4 linked regions of the Caenorhabditis elegans genome follow. The protein of the gene in region 4 purifies or fractionates together with the protein of the main gene of each other region. This does not show direct contact. Each region holds a gene or a part of one and is shown on either strand. Other genes may lie near its edges. The genes, in order: exc-4, ran-4, zig-12 and C36A4.4.

The links.
Region 1: the proteins of C36A4.4 (region 4) and exc-4 fractionate together in Caenorhabditis elegans (co-fractionation; one large-scale study listed by BioGRID). This does not show direct contact.
Region 2: the proteins of C36A4.4 (region 4) and ran-4 fractionate together in Caenorhabditis elegans (co-fractionation; one large-scale study listed by BioGRID). This does not show direct contact.
Region 3: the proteins of C36A4.4 (region 4) and zig-12 fractionate together in Caenorhabditis elegans (co-fractionation; one large-scale study listed by BioGRID). This does not show direct contact.

Annotation. Positions count from the first base shown.
Region 1 is NC_003279.8:14,512,710-14,520,570, forward strand, and holds the start of exc-4 (Chloride intracellular channel exc-4), read right to left. Parts: upstream 6,011-7,861; 5' UTR 6,007-6,010; coding exon 5,626-6,006; intron 3,909-5,625; coding exon 3,774-3,908; intron 2,478-3,773; coding exon 2,250-2,477; intron 83-2,249; coding exon 1-82. UniProt on the Caenorhabditis elegans protein: May insert into membranes and form chloride ion channels. Involved in the formation of the excretory canal. Required to prevent cystic lumenal expansions in the excretory cell.
Region 2 is NC_003279.8:8,589,611-8,592,489, reverse strand, and holds ran-4 (putative nuclear transport factor 2), read right to left. Parts: upstream 1,276-2,879; 5' UTR 1,274-1,275; coding exon 1,177-1,273; intron 1,136-1,176; coding exon 1,044-1,135; intron 1,001-1,043; coding exon 902-1,000; intron 857-901; coding exon 743-856; 3' UTR 512-742; downstream 1-511. Other genes in the region: tmem-208 (Transmembrane protein 208), read right to left, coding at 1-83, 138-255, 306-398. UniProt on the Caenorhabditis elegans protein: Facilitates protein transport into the nucleus. Could be part of a multicomponent system of cytosolic factors that assemble at the pore complex during nuclear import.
Region 3 is NC_003284.9:8,762,374-8,766,816, reverse strand, and holds zig-12 (Ig-like domain-containing protein), read right to left. Parts: upstream 2,911-4,443; 5' UTR 2,909-2,910; coding exon 2,843-2,908; intron 2,797-2,842; coding exon 2,662-2,796; intron 1,881-2,661; coding exon 1,790-1,880; intron 1,743-1,789; coding exon 1,630-1,742; intron 1,485-1,629; exon of another isoform or gene 1,339-1,484; intron 956-1,338; coding exon 767-955; 3' UTR 537-766; downstream 1-536.
Region 4 is NC_003281.10:3,840,730-3,845,290, reverse strand, and holds C36A4.4 (putative UDP-N-acetylglucosamine pyrophosphorylase), read left to right. Parts: upstream 1-1,676; 5' UTR 1,677-1,680; coding exon 1,681-1,932; intron 1,933-1,986; coding exon 1,987-2,407; intron 2,408-2,910; coding exon 2,911-3,259; intron 3,260-3,309; coding exon 3,310-3,563; intron 3,564-3,620; coding exon 3,621-3,799; 3' UTR 3,800-4,045; downstream 4,046-4,561. Other genes in the region: maph-1.3 (Microtubule-associated protein futsch), read right to left, coding at 1-130, 177-398; C36A4.11 (uncharacterized protein), read right to left, coding at 4,141-4,148, 4,207-4,405.

The sequences.
Region 1 (7,861 bases), on a different chromosome or scaffold from region 4:
ATAGCACTTTTTCCGGAATTGTGTGCGTTTTTGTTGGCGATTGGAGGGTTTCACGTTGATTTGTGAACAGATTCATTTGTTCCTGCAAATTCAGAGAATTTTGGGGTTTAAAAATCACATAAATTGGGAAACGACTACAAACTAGAGTTTTGTTAGCCGCACCAAACTTTTGTTGATTTCGCTGTAAAATTGAAAAATTTACACCAAACATTTTTCAAAAAAATTAATTATCATAGAAGCAAGCGCTCTCCTCAAAGCCGAATAATTATTAGAGCGCGCTTGCAGACCAGGAAAATTAAAATTTTTCGATTTTCTCTTTAAAAAATACCAAATTTCGGCTTAAAAATTGCTAGAATCGTCAATTTTGCTTATTTATTTAGCCTGAAACGAGTTAAAAAAAATAGCACAATTTAAGGAATTTTCGAGGAAAATAGTACTTCTCACGATCTCCTCAAAGCCGATTAATTATTAGAGCGCGCTTGCAGCGCCTCGCGTTTCTGCATCCGGGGTATTTTGTCTTTCCACTGAAAAAATCAGTTTTTTTTTCAGATTTATCGAATTTTTAGCTTTTAAAAATTTTTTCCTGCATTTTTCGAACAAACCGTTTTGTTAAACAGTAAAAATCGAATTTAAAATGACTAAAAGGAACTTTTCTCGTCCACGGGTTGAGAAATGGTTTGAATTTGAAGAAATCAGCGGGATTTTTCGTATTTTCTGAATATTTTCCTATTAAAAATCGGTTGCAAACCATTTTTTGACCCTAACGTTAAGTCACAAATGTTGAATCCAATTTTTAATAGAAAAATATTTAGAAAATAAGAAAAATCCCGCTGATTTCTTCAAATTCAAACCATTTCACAACCAGTGGACGAAAAAAGTTCATTTTAGTCATTCTAAATTCGATTTTCACTGTTAAACAAAACGGTTTGTTCGAAAAATGCAGGAAAAAATTTTTAAAAGCTAAAAATTCGATAAATCTGAAAAAAAAGCTGCTTTTTTCAGTGGAAAGGCAAAATACCCCGGATGCAGAAACGCGAGGCGCTGCAAGCGCGCTCTAATAATTAATCGGCTTTGAGGAGATCGTGAGAAGTACTATTTTCCTCGAAAATTCCTTAAATCGTGCTATTTTTTTAAACTCGTTTCAGGCTAAATAAATAAGCAAAATTGACGATCCTAGCAATTTTTAAGCCGAAATTTGGTTTTTTTTTTGGTCAAAATCGAAAGTGGAAACACTAACAATTTCCAGATTTTCGCTAAAAATATTGAAATAATCAGAAATGTTCCAAATTTTGTTCGAAAAATGGAAGAATTTCCGGGAAAAATCGGGAAAAATTTTTTTTTCGATTTTTTTTTAGATTTTCAATGAAAAAATCGAAAATTCAAGTGCACTATTTCTCCAAAGCGTGAAAAAGTACTAGTTTACACAATTTTTGTCATTTTTCATATAAATTTGGCGTTTAAAACCTCAAAAATGGTGCATTTTTAGTCGCGCCTGTCTCGGTTTTCTCTCAAAAAACCCAACACTGGGGTCAAATTTGCTCAAAAAGTGCAATTTCTGTTGTTTCTATGAAATAAGGCGTGAGCTGTAATAAAAATATTGAATTCTGCATGTTTTGTTGGTTTTTTTAAACAAAAAAAAATTGTTCCTCGGCACCCCTGATTCTGGCTAACAAATCTGTAGTTTGTAGTGTCGAGTCTTCGTAGTTTGTAGCTTCATCCTCACTTTATAGTCATGAATAATGTCCTGATCGGCCGAAATTTGGATTTTTTTCAAGAGAAAATCGAAAATTTTGAATTGTTGCAAGCAAAAAAAAAAAAACATCCTTTTCTGGTCTTTTTGCTATTTCTAAAGACTTTTTCTACACTTTCACATAAAAATTAGCATATTTTTTGAGAAATCAATAGTTTTCTCGTTTTTTTAAAAAAGATTTTCAATGAAAAAGTCGAAATTATTCCCCAAAGCCACAATTTTTGTCATTTTTCATATAAATCAAACTGGAGATATATTATTTAAATAAATTGAATTTTTCCGAAATCTTCTGAACTAAAACCTTTTGGCCATTTTTTCTTTTTCAGAATAATAATTCGTATGTTTTTTCTTATTAAAATATAGACAAAATTAGAATAAAAATTGTATGTTTCATGGCTAATTCGAATTTTTTTTTGGTTGGTTTTTTCAACAAAAAACATTGTTCCTCGGCACCCCTGATTCCGGCTAACAAATCTGTAGTTTGCAGCTTCATCCTCACTTTATAGTGATGAATAATGTCCTGATCGGCGGGACAACTCTCAATAAATGCTGCTGTACGGTATGCAGTGAGGATATAAGCCCAGAGATGAGTGAAATTATGTGGAATATCGAATCCAAGAAGTGACAATCCAATAATTCGAATATGATGAAGACGTGGCATCAGTTCACAGTCATATTCAGTCATACTGTTTCCAAGTAGATATCGAGATTTTCTCTCGGATAGCAACTGCAATAAAATGGGGGCAATTTTTGATGGAATTATGTTGACAAGATGCGATAAACAATATTTATCACAAAAAATTGGGGAAATTGGGAAATTGGGCAAAGTGCCGGTTTGCCAAATTTCCGGCAAATTTGGCAAACTTCCAGAATTGAAATTCTCAGAAAATAGGTACTTTACCGGCGAATCATCGGAAATTTGCATTGCCTAAAATTAAAATTTACGGCAAAATGGAAAATTTGTCGGAATTGAAATTTCCGGCAAATCGGCAATTTGCCGGAATACTAAATTTTTGGCAAAATGCCAGAATAGAAATTTCCAGCAAATCGGGATTTTGCCGGAAAATTGGGGAAAATGTGCAATTACCGGTTTGCTAGAAATTTCCGGCAACTTTGGCAAACCGGCAATTGCGCATATATTTTTCTGAAACTTTTTATGAATTTCAATTTCAAACGGAAAACGCATCCTATGAAGTGTTTCAGTATTATCAAAAATCTTTTTATAAAATTCCGGCAAATTGATATCCGGCAAGCAAATCGGCAGTTTGCCGGATTTTAAAATTTCCGATAGGTTGGCAATTTGCCGGAATAATAAATTTTCGGCAGTTTGCCAGAATTGAGATTTTCCGTTTTGCCGATTTGTTGGAAATTTTCTGTATCGTCAAAGTGTCGATTTGCCGGAAAATTGCCATTTTCCCGTAAATTAAAATTTCCAGAAAATAGGTACTTACCCAAAATTAAAATTTACGGCAAATCGGCAGTTTGCCGGAATTGAAAATTTCCGGCAAATTGGCACTTTGCCGGAATACTAAATTTTCGGCAATTTGCCAGAATTGAAATTTCCGGTAAATCAGTAATTTGCCGGAATTGATCATTTTCGGCAATTTACCAGAATTGAAAATTTCCGGCAAATTGGCACTTTGCCGGAATTGAAATTTTTTGTTTTGCCGATTTACCGTAATTTTTTATTTTCGGCAAAGTACCTATTTGCCGAAAATTAAAATTTCCAGAAAATAGGTACCTCACCGAAAATTGAAATTTACGGCAAAATGACAATTTGCCGGAATTCAAAATTTCCGTTTTGCCGATTTGCCGGAAATTTTCATTCTCGGCAAATAGGTAGCTTTCCTAAACTTAAAATTTCCCGGCAAAATGGCAATTTGCAGAAACTTAACATTTCCCGGCAATCGGAAACTTGCCGGACATTTTCAATTCCGGCAAAGTGCCGATTTGCCGGAAAATTTGCCGAAAATTAAAATTTTCGGCAAATGGGCAATTTCGCAGATTTCTGTGTGTATTTTACCTGATCAATATTGGATAGTTGCTCACAGACTCGATTGTAGTGAACTTTAATCTGTGCTGGAAGATCTTCAACTCTCGATGGCTCCTTTTTTCCCTTATCGAACTCTACTTTTGCTCGCAGGAACAGTTTGAAGTTCTGAAAAATGAGAGGAAATTAGACGGGGGAAAACGTCAAATTTAACTTTGTCGATTTACGCGCGTCGTGAAAAATGGATTTTTTCGAAGTTTTACCAGAAAAATTGGAATTATTTGAAGTTTTTCCGGAAAAATTAATTTTTTTTGAAGTTTTTCCGGGAAAATTGGATTTTTTTTGAAGTTTTTCCGGAAAAATTGGGAAATGTTTCTTTTTTTTTTTTAGGAAAAAACAGAATTTTCCATACTGTTAAGACAAAATTGGACCAATTTCTAAATTTTTTCATCGAAAAAAGGACATTTTTGAGATATCAAGCTGTGTGAAGCCTCGTGTACTCCCCGAGGAGAAGATTTTACGGATTTTGCTGAAAATCAATATTTTAAATCAATTTATTGCAGTTTTCATATTTTCTATGAAATTTGGTATTTTTAATCAGAAAATCGATAACTTAATGACAAAATGTTGCATTTCAGTGAGAAAACCAGAAATTTCTGAAAAAATGCAGTTTTTGGCGGAAAAGTGATTATTTTTCGGTAAAAATTCGGTATTTTCAAAAGAAAATCGAGAATTTTACGAAAATTGACGATTTTCGTGGGGAAACCCTGTTGAAAATTGATGAATTAAATATTTTTCGCGGAAATTTTCAGAGTTTTCGTTAAAAACTTGTATTTTTCGCTTTTTCTAACAAAAATTTTCAATTTTCCCGGGGAAATGATGTATTTTTGTTTCACTGAAAACACTATAAATCAGCAAAAACTGCAAAATGTTCTCCTCGTGGAGTACAAGGCATTTTTTCGCAAAAAATCCATTTTTTGATTTAAATTTTTATAGAAATGTAGAAAATGGGTTGTTCTAGTTGAAAATAACATATATTTTTGTTGAAAATCTTGAAAAAGTCATCAAAACCTTTTAACGGCACTTTTTCGGCTTTTCAAGATTTTCAACAAAGATAAATGTTATTTTCAAATAGAACAACCCGTTTTCTACATTTCTATATCAATTTTAGATTAAAAATTTATTTTTTTGCCGAAAAAGTGCCGCACAGCCCTGAAAACTGGATAATCTTTTCCACGAGGAATACACGATCCGCGTAAATCAACACATTAGGCGTTCGATTTACGCGGATCGTGTACTCCTCGTGGAAAATAAAATTCGTTCTTAATCTAAAATTGATATAGAAATATAGAAAACGGGTTGTTCTATTTGAAAATAACATTTACTTTTGTTGAAAATCTTGAAAAAGACCTCAAATAGTGCCTGAAAGTTGCCGTTTGCCGGAAAAGTGCCGTTAAAAGTTTTTAGATTAAAAAAACTGGGTTGTTTCAAAATGAAAATCACCTTTAATCGGCACTTTTTCCGGCAAACGGAACAAAAATTAATGTTATTTTCATGTGTATGTGATTAAAGGGATTTTCATTTTGAAAGAACCCAGTTTTTTTAATCTAAAAACTTTTAACGGCACTTTTCCGGCAAACGGCAACTTTCAGGCACTATTTGAGGTCTTTTTCAAGATTTTCAACAAAAGTAAATGTTATTTTCAAATAGAACAACCCGTTTTCTATATTTCTATATCAATTTTAGACTAAAAATTCATTTTTTTGACGAAAAAGTGAAAAAAAAGTGCCCCACAACCCTGAAAACTACAGAATCTTTTCCACGAGGAGTACACGATCCGCGTAAATCGACAGTTTCCGGGCTTCTTCTTCTTCCATACACTCACCCTGTACAAGTTCTCTATTCTCTTCTCAGCGGATGGATCCTTTTCAAAGAGTGGAACATTGAATTCCTTTGCCAAATGAAAGATCCGTCCTTCAATCTCTCGATTATCAGTGTATGTCAGCTCTTTTTCCTCTTCAATCATAATCGGTGGTTGTGCTCCGAGAAAGTTCTTCTTAAATGCTTCAGAATTCACGTTGACAGTCTTCACTTCGACTCGTGCAACTCCAATCTCATAAAGAGCATACAACTCCATCCAGAATTCCTGACAGAAAAGATCGGCTCCAATGCGGCGAGCATCAATTCCTGACGCTTTTACGTAGAGCTCGAGAAGAGGTTTTGATTGGGGATCTCCGTTTGATTGGATCTGGTAAGCTTCTGCCATATCTGGAATTAGCGGTGGTTGTTGGAGAGGAAAATTTGGTGAGATAACACAATAAATCCGGAAGAAACAGAAGAAAATTAGTGTATATTTTAAATATATATATATATATATACCACGGCTGGTATATATATATATATATACCAGCCGTGGACCGCACCTTCGGCGCGGCCCCCGACTTCTGGGGCTGAAAATTAATTTTTTATGAAACTACCGTAACCCTACAGTATTCCTACCGTACCACTATTGTACCACTACAGTACCCCGACTATATCCCTACACTAACCCTAACTCACTATCCCTCCAGAAGCCAAAACTTCACAGACTACAAAGACCACATAGACTACAAACTATGGACACACAGAATAAGCGCTTTATATATAGTAAATGATATATATATATATCGAATAAATGGAGAATTTTTAAATTTAGTGAGAAAATATTTACGACAATTGGTGTAAATACTGGAAATTTTAGGTAACAACATCCGTTTTTTACGAATATTTGTTAATTTTCCAATGAATGTTCAAAATTTAGATTTAATAGCTAGTTTTGGGAGTTTTCCACACCTTTTTTTGGATTTCAGCATCAGATTTTAGCATGTTTCTGGAAATTTGTTTCTGGGAATTTCTCAATGAAATTGAAGAAATTTTTTGTTTTGTTACTAGAAAATATTATACAAAGCAAGTTCGAGATAGCTTGAAAACTTTAGTTTCCAGGGGAAATTCTATTACGAGAACAGAAAATTCTGAGAATGCGTACATCGCAACATATTTGACGCGCAAAATATCTCGTAGCGAAACCTACAGTAACCCTTCAAATGACTACTGTAGCTCTGTGTGTGTGGATTTACGGGACTGACTTTCGAGACAATGATATTCAATTTTCTGTAGCTTTTTTTACTGTGTTATTTTTAAAGTGTGCTTTTAATACGCTATCAATTAATAAACGATTTCCGTAAATCGACACAAGCGCTACAGTAGTCATTTTAAGAATTACTGTAGTTTTCGCTACGAGATATTTTGCGCGTCAAATATGTTGCGATGTACGCATTCTCAGAATTTCTTGTTCCCGTAATAAAAAATGAGCCATTGTGGAATTTACTTTCAATATTTCTTACTAAAAATATATTTTAATTTCAGGTTTAAGGTTTTAGTAACAAAAATTGTAATTGTAATTGCAATGGAATGGGGGGTTTTTCAGTAATTCGCAACTTTTAGACGAGATTTGAACACTTTGAACTAAAATACAAGGTACGAGGTATTTTAGTTCTAAAGTGTGCAAAAAACTAGCTGAAAGTTGCAAATTGCGGGAAATCTCCCGATTTTCAGACAAGATGTCCTCCTAAAGCCTTTCAATTGGAATTAAAGCTATATTGAATTAGAAAACCTCATTTTCTATATTCCGTGACAAATATTTTTGGTAAAGAATATTAGAATCACGTGGAGTCACAGAAAGTCTCATTTTGCTTTGATCTTCGAAAAATGCGGGAGAAGAGACGCAGACATCTAATCTGATTTCGCATGGTTAAGTGCGTGCTGACGTCACAATTTTCTGGAAAAATATTCCCGCATTTTTCATAGATCAAACCGCAATGAGACAGTCTGACACCACGTGTAAAAGATTTAAATTGCTTCGCAAAATTTTTTAAAGTAAAATTAAGTTTTTCGGTTAGATTCTGCGATTTCTATATTTCGTGATTAGATTTTAATGAAACAACATGCCAAAATGGCTCTTTTAAAAATTATGTCGATTTACGGCTTAAGTACACATTTTTCTGATAAAAAATGCCAAAAAAATCGAAAAAAAATTATGAAATCGTCCAGAAAGTCAGCAGGTACATGGTCTCGCAACTTGT
Region 2 (2,879 bases), on a different chromosome or scaffold from region 4:
TTTACAGTATTCTCCGAATGCTTCTGGATCGTTCAAATCGGCACCAGCATCCAAAACATGTCCTTTATCGTCAAGCTTTGCTTCTAAAATCATAATTTCAGATTAATACAAAAAATTAATGGGTAAGACAAACTTACTAGCTAAAGATTTCATGAAAAGAATAGCAAAGATCTGCACGAGCGCTGAGACAGCAAAAAATACATAATCGGTGGAAGAGCACTGGCTCAGAAACATACACGATGAATAGTAGATTGCCTAAAACAATTTTTAAAAAATCGTTGAAATGTGAAATTACAAATGTTTACCATGCTAATCGTGCTAGCCACACTATAAGTGGTGACAGTCTTCTGATTCTCCTCATAGATCTCTTTCTGCCCTTTTGTTGCTTGTTTCACCATCTGTATTTAATTTTTATATTTTTGAGGTCATTGCTGAAAAAGTCAAAGGTATTGTAAAGGTTGAAAAACCACTAATAATAACGAATTAAACAAAATTTTCTCGATATCTCGGAAAGAAAATGATAAAAACTTCATTCTTTAGTTTGAACCGATTTGCAAACTAGAAGTTTGAAATTGTGCGAAATAGTAAAACGACACGAAACTGTGTGGGGAAAGAAACCGATTTAGAAACATGGAAAAAGCCGGGTTGAAATAGATATTTAAGCAATTTGGTGAAAATTCAGTTCTTGAAAAATTGTTCAATACGGGGACACATTTTGATAGGAAAGTGGACGAATTGATATCTAATTGTTGTGCAAGTCAAGTCGGAAGATCTCGTTTCCGATGAAGTAGGAACCCTGATTGTTTGGACGGAGAATAAAGACTTGCGAGAAGGGATTGATTGGATCTTCGTCGGTCTGAATAATTTTTTTTCGGTTTTTTTGAAAACTACTTCTACTTACCTTGAGCTGACCAAGAACCATCACTTGAATTGATCCATCATACAGAGGCTGAGAGTCAATCACAGTGATCGCTCGTTGAATTTTTGTGAATCCGAGAGTCTAAAAGTGTTTCGTTATTGAACTCTCGTACTTTTGCACAAACCGTGAACTTTTGGAGAATTCCGTCACGGCCTTTCGCTTGCTGTCCTTCAAAAGTCATGTAAGAGTTTTCTGGGTCGTACAAATCGGAGAGTCCTGAAATTCACTAAGTTTATTGTTTTTTTCAGACGAAATACCTTGAGCACGACTCATTCCATCGCCAACATCGAACTTTGAGTAGTAATGTTGAATGAAGGCCTTTGCAACACTTTCGTAATCAGGATTGAAGCTCATTCCTTTAAAAACGACAAATTGGGAAAAATAATTGAAAAAGAGTAAAAATAAATAAGATAGGTAGGAAAAAGCAACGAAGAATACGATAATTTTCGAAACAATTGAATTATATATTTACTCGAGATGGGTTGTCTCAATAAATTTTGAAAATTAGTTGTTAGATGAGCAGTGGTCTTGCTCGCATTGAGAAAAATAAACAGCAACCAAATTGTTTTTTTTTAGTTTTTAAAGTTTAAACCCTCGGCCTCATGTTTCAGTTTTCGAAAGAACAGTATTGTCTTCCTGCGTTTTGTTCGTTCTTGGGAAGTTTAATTAAAAATAATTATGAATTATTTGATTCCTCACAAGAGAAAACCGATTAAAAAAAATAAAAATGCCTAAATAAATTGGAAAATCAGAATAAAATGGCAAGGTGCCAGCATCGCGCGCACATTTTGTAGCATAATCCAGCGGAGCGCGATTACTGCACAGAAAGCGAGAGAGTGTGTAAACGAGAGAGAACACGTTATGAGCAGAGAAATCGCCTTGTCGTCACTCTTTTTGTTGAAGAGGCGCAGAGAAAAAAGAGTTGGTTGGCTCTGTTTTTATGTCTCTTTGAGCTCGCCAAAATGGAAAACAGAGCTGGAAAAGCAACAAAATAACGACAAAACCACTGAAATTATGTTCCTCTTTTGTTGTTGCTCCATTTTTTATTTCTTTCCATTCTACCAATTGAATAAGAAGTTAAACTTTATTCTTACTCCGTAATGTTGGCATTTCAAAAATCAATTTTCTGTAATTTATAGAAACTTGAAATAATTTTCCATCTCTGCGCATCCTCATGCCTTAGCGAACACCATATATGTATGTTCTTTCACTCTTCCCTTTTCGGCACCTGACCAGTCTTTTGAAGCCAACGTTTTCTGAAAATAAAGAACCGTTACTATTATATTTTCACATCATCCAGAACTGAAATGATATCAATTTTCGAGAGCTCATTACATCAAACTCATCCAGTCACATTTATGGTTACCTTGGTAACAGTTCATTGACAAAATTAATGCAAGCAATTCCGAACTCATTACATACTGCTTCTCACATGATTATCAAAATTCTATGAGCGATACATATACTCAGTTAGTTTTCAAATGTAGATTTTTGTAATTGAAAGGAAAATAAGTAAGCCAAACATTTTAAAACTAAATTGTATACCATTTTGCTGACTGAATTTGAGCAAGCTTTAAAACTCCCAAATTTTTTTCTAAAAATGGAAGAAAATTTATGTGAACCTCTAACTATGTGTCGATTTACCCAGCTTGTGTAATAGTTCGAGAATCAAAATTTTTTTAAAGTTTTTGGTCTTGATTTTTGACAGTATTAATTACATCTTTCTCAAAAGGAAAATCCCATCCAAGATAAAACATTTTAGCCTGTAAAAGTTGTGAAATCGCCTTAGAAGAATATGTGAGCTTTTTTCAAAAATCTCAGTCACATTTTGGAAAACTGCCAGATTTTCTAAAGATTTTATTTTTAGTAATTCCGAGCATCTTGCAGGTTCATACAACGTTCAAATACAAATTATTGGAACGTAGTTCAAATATAAAACTTGTAGAAAAAGCAACGTAAT
Region 3 (4,443 bases), on a different chromosome or scaffold from region 4:
ATGTAGTTCAAATATAATAACAACATCAGTTCTTCACAAAAATTGTCGGAAAAAGATTTTCAATCCAAGAAACCTGATTTTTGAACAAAGCCTCTAAACAGTGTCTAATGAGACACTAGTTTCAGCGCACACATTTTTTTAAATGGAGGTTTTAGGACAAAGTTGATATGTTCAAACAATGAAAAATTAAATAAACATTTTGTTACTTTCTCAAACCTTTCATTAAAAATATGTTTCTTGAGTTACAGTCGTTTTAGTAATCATCGTCAAAAACGGACTCACGAGATGCCCGCCGCTTTATTACTTGCCATGTGATGGATGAATAATTGCAACATGTAAAAATACATAGGCCTGATCACGAGCTACATTTTACCAGTTGAAAATTTTTTGGTACCTTTCCTAGTTTTGAAGTTATGCCCATTGGAAAAAATATCGAAATCGTCAAAAAACTGAAAGTGGATATCTTTTTGGCCAGCACTGTATATATATATATTGATTTCTGTACTTGCAAGTATATCTTCTCATGTTCAATGTGTCAAGAAACTTTTTTATTTTGGCTGATACCAATTCATGTGCATGGGACACAAAGTTCAAATTACTTTGAGAAGACAAATACTACAAAACGTTAAAAGTTACAGAAGAAAAAAAAGCGGAAAGTGCAACTACCAAAATCGAAAATCAGAAGCAACGATTAACATGAAAATTGATTTGAGGCTTTATGAATTGAATTGTATGACAATTAAAAACCAAGGGAAAATTTATAAAATTAATCGAAAACCAAGTTCAACGCTTGTTGGTTTTGTCCTTCGGAGTTCTTGACAACGCACTTGTATTTTGCTTCATCGTCTTTTTGTGGTCCGGTGATTTCGAGTAGGAATTGGAATCCGTCTTTGTCCTTATCGTCCTTCTTTACAACAGCCTTAACTCGGTCAGTGAATTTCACTGGTTTTTCATCCTGGAAGAATGAATTAGTGAAAAATATGAAATTTACTTTTTTTCTGTTAATTTAAAAATGATTTATACTAGACGGTCGTTCAGAAAATTTTTTCCAAAACAAGTTTGTTAATTTTATTTATCAAAGCATTCCAAAAAAACTCAAACTTGGTTCCAAGCATGCCCATTGAAATGTTCATTTTTCATTTTTCATTTTACATTTTGAACCAGACAACAAGTGAATTCTTTTAATGTTTATTGAACCTTTTTGCTTTTAGTTTTTTGCGCCATTTCTCTTTTTTGTTCACTACTCAAAACTTCGCTCTATCTGCTCCATGAGCCTCAAGTATCTGTCTCGGCACAACCCAAAGGCGCGGACGAGGAGGCCTCCCAACTTTTGTCTTATTTCCACACTTCTTTACATTACCCATCTCTGCCTTTCTATTTTGAATCCCCTTGAGAAAGCCGGAGAGGTTCACTTCGACTAACATAAATGTGGAAATTAGGACAACTACATTTTTTTCTTCGGTGGAAGAAAGAAGACAAAAGAAAAAAGACACGTCAGTCAGTCGATCCATCTTCGAGAAGCTCTATTCTGGTTCAACCAAAATGAATTTAGCAATGCCAAGAAAAATACCGAATAAGAATTCAGGGAAATTTTTTCCCCTAAGATTCAAAGTAAGGTGACAGACATACCTTGAACCATTCGGCCTTCATCTCAAGGTGGGACTTTGCGCGGACCTTAATCACAATCACATTTCCGTTATCTCTTTGAACAATATGTGGCTTGTCATGGAAGTCTGGGGCGTCTGAAATTGTATGTGTAAGCTTTTAGTGTTTTTGATAATGAGCTCACTTCCTGCTGCGACTGTGAAGTTAGAGCTGTTCTCTCCATCGGCGTTGGCAAAGACGGCTTTGTATTCTCCGGCAAGTGGTTTATCAAAGTCCTATAAAATGATGATTTAAAGAAGCAAAAAGGTGTTTTGTTAACAGTTAAAATTCATAATTCCGATTATTTTTTATCACAGGTAAAGCGGGATTGCTCAGAAGCGGCCCAATGGCAGCTGATAAAATCGTTTTTGTGTTCGGAGTTTTTTTTTAAGCTTAGAAAAACGAAATTTGCGACCGGGGCGGTCGACAATCGGCTTATTGGCTGACATGGAGACAGACCACCGGCGGACATCAGTTTTTTTTTTCAGTCTGCGGCATTTTGGACCGTTGGACAGTTTTTCAGTTGCTTTTCCGTTTTACCAGTAATGTAGCTTATGTGGTTTGTTTTTCAACTACTACTATCATTAGTAACTTTTACAATTATAGTTCCTAATGTGAAGTTCAAACTGCACGGCTTTTTTTAATGTTTACTGAATTTTCAAAATTACAGTTCACGTTATTGATGTATATTTAATGTGAGATACGAAAAAAATAAAGAATATAGTAAAGTAAAAAGTATTTTGTAATGATGAATGTACTTAGAGTTTCCTTTTGATCAAATGCTTAACCGTTGTTATGTTTTGCTTTTCACCTCCCGACCGACAGCTAATTCTGCTTTTGCCGCACTTTTGCCCAAAATCTACGGTAAGTCCATCAAAAACCAATTAAACGCAGATCAAAACACATACAGACAACAGTTGCAGAGCGCATCGCAGCAATGGGACCATAAAATGACTCGTGAGTCGTTTTATGTGATTTATACGAGATGCTTTGGCAAACAGTTGCTCTCAAACTGACCTTGATTTCGGCAACAAACTTGGTGCGGTTGCCTCCTTCGTCACTGTTTGAGAACTTCAGGAACTCGTTCTCCTCAAGCTCGTCTGGTCCGAAAAACCACTGAATCTTAGAAACATCAGCTCCAGTGACGATGACCTGGAAGAAAACTTAGCAATTTTCAAAAGGAAAAGCAAATTCGTACCTCAAGGAACACCGACCCGTTCTCTGATCTAATTTTTGGTTCTCCGTAAATTGATGGTGGTGCCATATCTGAAAAAATTAAAATCTGTAGTTTTATGATTGAATACGAAGCCATGAATATACGGAATCTCGGTAACCTAAAGTTTTACACACTAAAAGAAAAGAGGGGCGTGTTTTCTGATCAGGTAAGAGCGCCGCCAAGAGCGAATGAAAAATGATCTGCCAATGTGTTTTTACCATCATTTATCCATTGAGTTCACAGGAAAATAGGAGACGAAAGACTTCTTGAACGGTAGTTCGTAGTGGCTTTTGGGTGGGAGAACTAAGCAAACAATGTTTTATGTTCTCAATGAACAAGCACAAGTAGGGGAATGTTGGAGAAGATCTAGACAAGATGTGTCAACAGTATTTTGAGGGAAAACACTTTATAATGCTGAGAAAAAAAAGAAAAAGGCAAAAAGACCAATGGTTGAAGGTTGAAAAATGCTTCGAAAATTGAATCACTGGTTTTTTGTACATATAACAGTTGATTTTAGTCATGTTTTTTGTGCATTGAGATCAGCACTCAAGAATAAATTTAAAAAAAACAAATTTGAGAGGAGAACAAAAAATATGAAGAGGAGAAAAATGATGTCTCGCTTGTAGTTTCCAACTGACAAAAGTGCCAAGAGGTCGCTGTTAGAGTCCCATTTTCCCTTTATCTTTTTCTCTGTTTCACGAAGGTGTTGTAATTTCTACTTCTTCTGCTGCTAAGCTCTTTCTCCGCCTCCTGGTCGCTAGTCGGAGAACGAAACGACGAAAAAAGATGGGAAAGATGAATGTCCCGGGAGCCCCCCGGAGCTGCCCACAGATTTTGCGGAGGAGGAGAAAGGTGGATGGGATGGCACTTCCCACCTAACTCTTCATTTCTCGTCGACGTTGAAGATCCCAAAATTTTTACAAAGTTCTCAATGAAGAGCTGCAGGGCGAAGGCAAAGTTGACGAGACACGCTTCACAAAGGATATTTGAGAGTATTTTGAAATCGGAATCAATGAGCAATTTGGGAACGGATGGAAATGACGTCGCTGGTTGTTGTATGAGTATTAAGGATTTCAAAAGTTGTTAAATGAAAATGCCACTTTGAAACTGAGCAACTCGAAAGCAATGGATTTATAGACCTGTCACAATAGGACGATCATGATGTGCACATTTTTGCAAATCGCGGCGTGCGCATTGTGCATGGTTTCATTGATGATATCTGCATTGTACGTTCATAATGTCAATTCTTCGCGGTTCTTTATGACCACATTGCAATTCAACTATGTAGGTTTAGCATTGGGTCAAAGAACAATTTAGTTGATTGGCCTCATCTTACAATAAGCTGCATAATTTCCTATTTAGAAAGAAACCAGAGAATAAGCTACCAGACTTGGCCGAATAGAGCAATGTGGAAAACGATATAGGACACTTAAATGCCCCAGTCGCGTTAAAAATTAAAATATATTGCCTTTCTAGGTCTCAAAATGAGATGAATCCCAAAAATGGTAAAAACATAAGCTGACAATTTTTCAGTTAAAAACAAATTATTTTATAATAAACTTATATGAACCAAACTGTTTTCA
Region 4 (4,561 bases):
TGAACAGTGGCGGTGCAACGGAGAGAAGCTTCGAGTTCGCTTCTTGAATTGCTTTGGCAATCTCTCCACTGCTTCCCGGCTTGGCAGTCTTGAACGGCTTCGTGTTGGTGAACACCGGCAACGGTTTTCCCTGAAAAAAGTAGATTATCAAAATTTTCATTAAAGTTTCTACAAACCTGTTCCAACAGAGCAGACGTGGTTCCGAGGTTACCAAGCGTCGGCGCGGCGAGCAGCACGGCAGAGACGTCCCTGACGTGAGCCACGAATCCTGGGCTTTTTTCGGCGAATCCCCCATCGAGAATGTAGACGCCGTCAAAATCAAACAAGGTGGCTGTGTTGGCCGCACCGCCCAAGACGTAGACGCATGCCTTCGACGACATGATGTATTCTTCCGGCATCTGGAAAGAAGGAGTAATTTTCAACAGTTTTAAGCACGTATACGTAGAAAATGAAAGAGAACGCTGAAAGATTGAATTATGGCGAATTTTATGCCAAAATAATTACAAAAACCCTAATTTCGGAGTTTTTCGCGCTTTTCTGTAGACTTAAGTTCATTTTTCAACCATATTAGCGACTAAAAATGTTCAAAAACTAATCAAAAATGTGAAATAAACGACAAAATTATAGGGAAAATGCAAAAGCTTCTTGGCTGCTGACAAAATTGCAGATTTTTTAGGATTTACAAAAAAAAGGTTTCAGTGGGCGGTGCCAATTCGCAACCACCGCACGCTCATTTCGCAAGCCTCGCACGTTTTTTCAGTGATCTTTTTAAATACCTTTTTTAAAGAAAAACGCGCGAGAATAAACAAATAAACAAATAAACAAAAACGAGACAGAAAAACACGAATGAGCTCTCTCGCCGCCTTATATAGCGCGGTGAGAGACGCAGAGAATGCAGGGAAATCAGAATACGACCGCTGCCGCCGTGGATCAAGATCACTAGTGATATCAGTCTCCTCTTTGTTTGATCTACCAGTAGAAGTGCAGAGCGCCTGCGATGGGTGGATTTTTTTCATTTTCAACTTTTTCAATGTCGCTGAATCAATACGTCATTTCTATTGGAAGCTAGTCTTTTTGGTTATTTTTTAGATTAAGTTTGAGTCTTGCGGTGCTCGAAAAACTCAAAATCTTTTTAAATCCACTGGTATATATATATTGGGAGAATTGAACTCTGTGCATTTTTCCGTCACTGTGTTCGCGTACTTTTAAGTTTTTATGGCGGCAGCGGCGCCATGTTCAGATGTTTTTTTATATGTTTTGTGATCTTTTCATCATTTTCTTGAAGAATTTGCAGATTTTTTTTCATTTTCAGTGAATTTTTCTTAATAAAAACTTTTTTTTTCCATTTAGATTGGATTTCTCCGCATTTTCTTCGGCGAAACAAGAGATTCTCTGTTTTTATTGCATTCTAAAAACGTTAAGCCAACAATCAATATTTTGTCGTGTTTCTTGTTTTCCATCTCCTTGTTTTTAGAGTTTTAAAGTAGGAAACGTGTTAAATAAGTGCAGTTTTTTGTGTCTATCTATTTTCCAAATGAACATTTCTGTAATTAGAGAGAAGCTGCCACACACAGCGTTATGAATAATTATTTTCTTATCTTTGCGCCGTGTATTATCACTTTTTGAATTGTTTTCCACCGGAGAATCGTTTATTTAATTTTGATCATTATTTTCAGTACGATGACCATCACTGCTCCACCAAAAGACGAGATTATCTCAAAGTTTCCGGGCTCTGAGCCACTTCTCAACTTTTACAATGAGCTCTCGGATGCCGAAAAATCGAAGCTTTTCCACCAAATTTCAACTCTAAACCTTTCGGAAGCTCATCAATGGTTCATTGATTCAGCGGATCAACGGGCTCCATCAACTGCGGAAGACCTTAAGCCGGTTCTTGATTCTCAGCATTTTGTACAAGCTGAATTGCATCAAGTGGTAGAGACTTTTAATATTTAGGTAAAACCATCATTAAAATTACATTATTTTCAGATCCTCGATGGTCTCTGGAACAAGGGAATGGATGCTATTGGACGTGGAGAAGTATGTGCAATTGTGCTCGCCGGTGGACAAGCTACACGTCTTGGATCAAGTCAACCGAAAGGAACGATTCCATTGGGAATTAACGCTTCATTTGGAGATTCTCTTTTGGGAATTCAAGCTGCCAAAATTGCACTTCTTCAGGCTCTCGCTGGAGAACGGGAGCATCAGAATCCGGGAAAAATTCACTGGGCAGTTATGACGTCACCTGGAACAGAGGAGGCTACTCGTGAGCATGTGAAGAAACTGGCGGCTCATCATGGATTCGATTTCGATGAACAAATTACTATTTTCTCACAAGATGAAATTGCTGCATACGATGAGCAGGGAAACTTCCTTCTCGGAACTAAAGGATCTGTTGTTGCTGCTCCAAGTATGAGTTTTTACGCAATTCGTGTACTCCTCGAGGAAAACTGTTTTTACGAATTTTTCAGCTATAATTCTGACTTTTTGATTATTTTTTAATCTTCAAAACGAAAAATTATATGACATTTAAAGTATTTTCGGTGTCAATATTGAAAGCAGTATTAATTGCATGGATTTTCACCCAAAACACACTAAAAATATAAATTAGTTGACGATTTGAATTTAAAAAATATCTAAAATTAAGTATTTTATCCGAATACTTAAAAATTTCGTACAAAAAAATAATTATTCTTTCTCGGGGAGTACACCAGCTGCGTAAATCGACACAAAAATTTTAAAAAATGAGTTTTTCAACGAAAAAAAAATCGAATTTTCAATATTTTAAAGATAATGTGTTCTCATCAAACTCAACTTTTTTTAGAACATAAAATCTAGACTTTTTTCTGGATTTCAAAAAAAGAAAATTATCGATTTTCTCACAAAAAACCGAAAAATCATATTTTTTTTCAGACGGCAACGGAGGTCTCTACTCTGCCATCTCTGCTCATTTGCCACGTCTTCGCGCGAAAGGAATCAAATATTTCCATGTGTATTGTGTGGACAACATTCTGTGCAAAGTTGCCGACCCTCATTTCATCGGATTCGCCATTTCAAACGAAGCTGACGTTGCAACCAAGTGTGTTCCGAAGCAAAAAGGAGAACTCGTCGGATCAGTTTGTCTTGATAGAGGACTACCACGTGTCGTTGAATATTCGGAGCTTGGAGCCGAGTTGGCTGAACAAAAGACACCGGATGGAAAATATTTGTTTGGTGCAGGATCTATTGCAAATCACTTTTTCACGATGGATTTCATGGATAGGTTTGTAATTTCAAATTTGGAGAAAAAGCTTAATTTTAAAATAAATACAGAGTCTGCTCTCCATCATCTCGTCTTCCATATCATCGTGCTCACAAGAAGATTTCCTATGTGAATGAGCAGGGAACCATTGTCAAACCGGAAAAACCAAATGGTATCAAGCTGGAGCAGTTTATTTTCGACGTCTTCGAGCTCTCGAAGCGATTTTTCATTTGGGAGGTGGCGAGGAACGAAGAGTTTTCTCCATTGAAAAATGCTCAATCTGTTGGAACTGATTGTTTGAGCACTTGTCAGAGAGATTTGTCCAGTGAGTAGATTTTTCTGTGAATTCAGAATTAAAATTGATTTAAAAACTGATTTTCAGATGTGAACAAGTTGTGGCTGGAACGTGTTCAAGCGAAAGTGACTGCAACTGAAAAGCCGATCTACTTGAAGACAATTGTCTCCTACAACGGAGAGAATCTTCAAGAACTCCGTCATCGTGAAATTTCTGATAGTGCCTTGGAATCCGATCATTCGATTAACAAATTCTTTGTTGTCTAGTCTTCTTTTGTTTCATATTTATACTGATTGCCCTACTCATTCCCCTATCATTTCCCAGCCAACTGTGTTTTATTTATGTTAAAATCCCCGTGATGCTTTCAAATTTCCTTCGGTATTTTCCCCAAAAACCGTAGTTATTAGGCCGATATTATTGCTTGACATCCATTTGTTTTAAATTTCTTAAATTTTCGTAAACTGAAACGAGTTCGAATACAGATTTTGTAAATACTAAAAATGTTAGAATGAGTTGGTACAATTTTATAAATTTAAAAATGACAATTTATTAAAAAAAAAAGTTATCCTTGGAAATGTGCCTTCTGTTGGGAGGATGTATTTAGTCATTAATTTCCTGAAAAGAGCAATAATTTAAACAAGCAAATAACAAAAATTAAAAAAAAAAAACTTACCTAATAGGCCTGCCACGCGGGACTTGTTAGCACCGGATCCAATTCGAAGGCAATCTTCCTCTTCTTGTGCATCTGAGCCACCGTGGCTGTCGAAGATGTCGCAGTAGAAGCTGCTATCCGAACATTCTCCAGACTCTGTAGATCCACCGAAACCACTTTGGATGATGGCTTCTCTGTCGTTCTTCGCCTTTGTTCCCATTTAAGCTCACGCTCTAATATCTCGAATTTCTCCTTCAAAGTCCACTCGGGAGCATCAAAGGGACTTAGCACCGGTTTCCAAAAGTTTCCTGATTCGAATAGAAGAAGAATATTCAAAAACTATTCAGTAGTAATTAAATATAAATAATTAATAAAA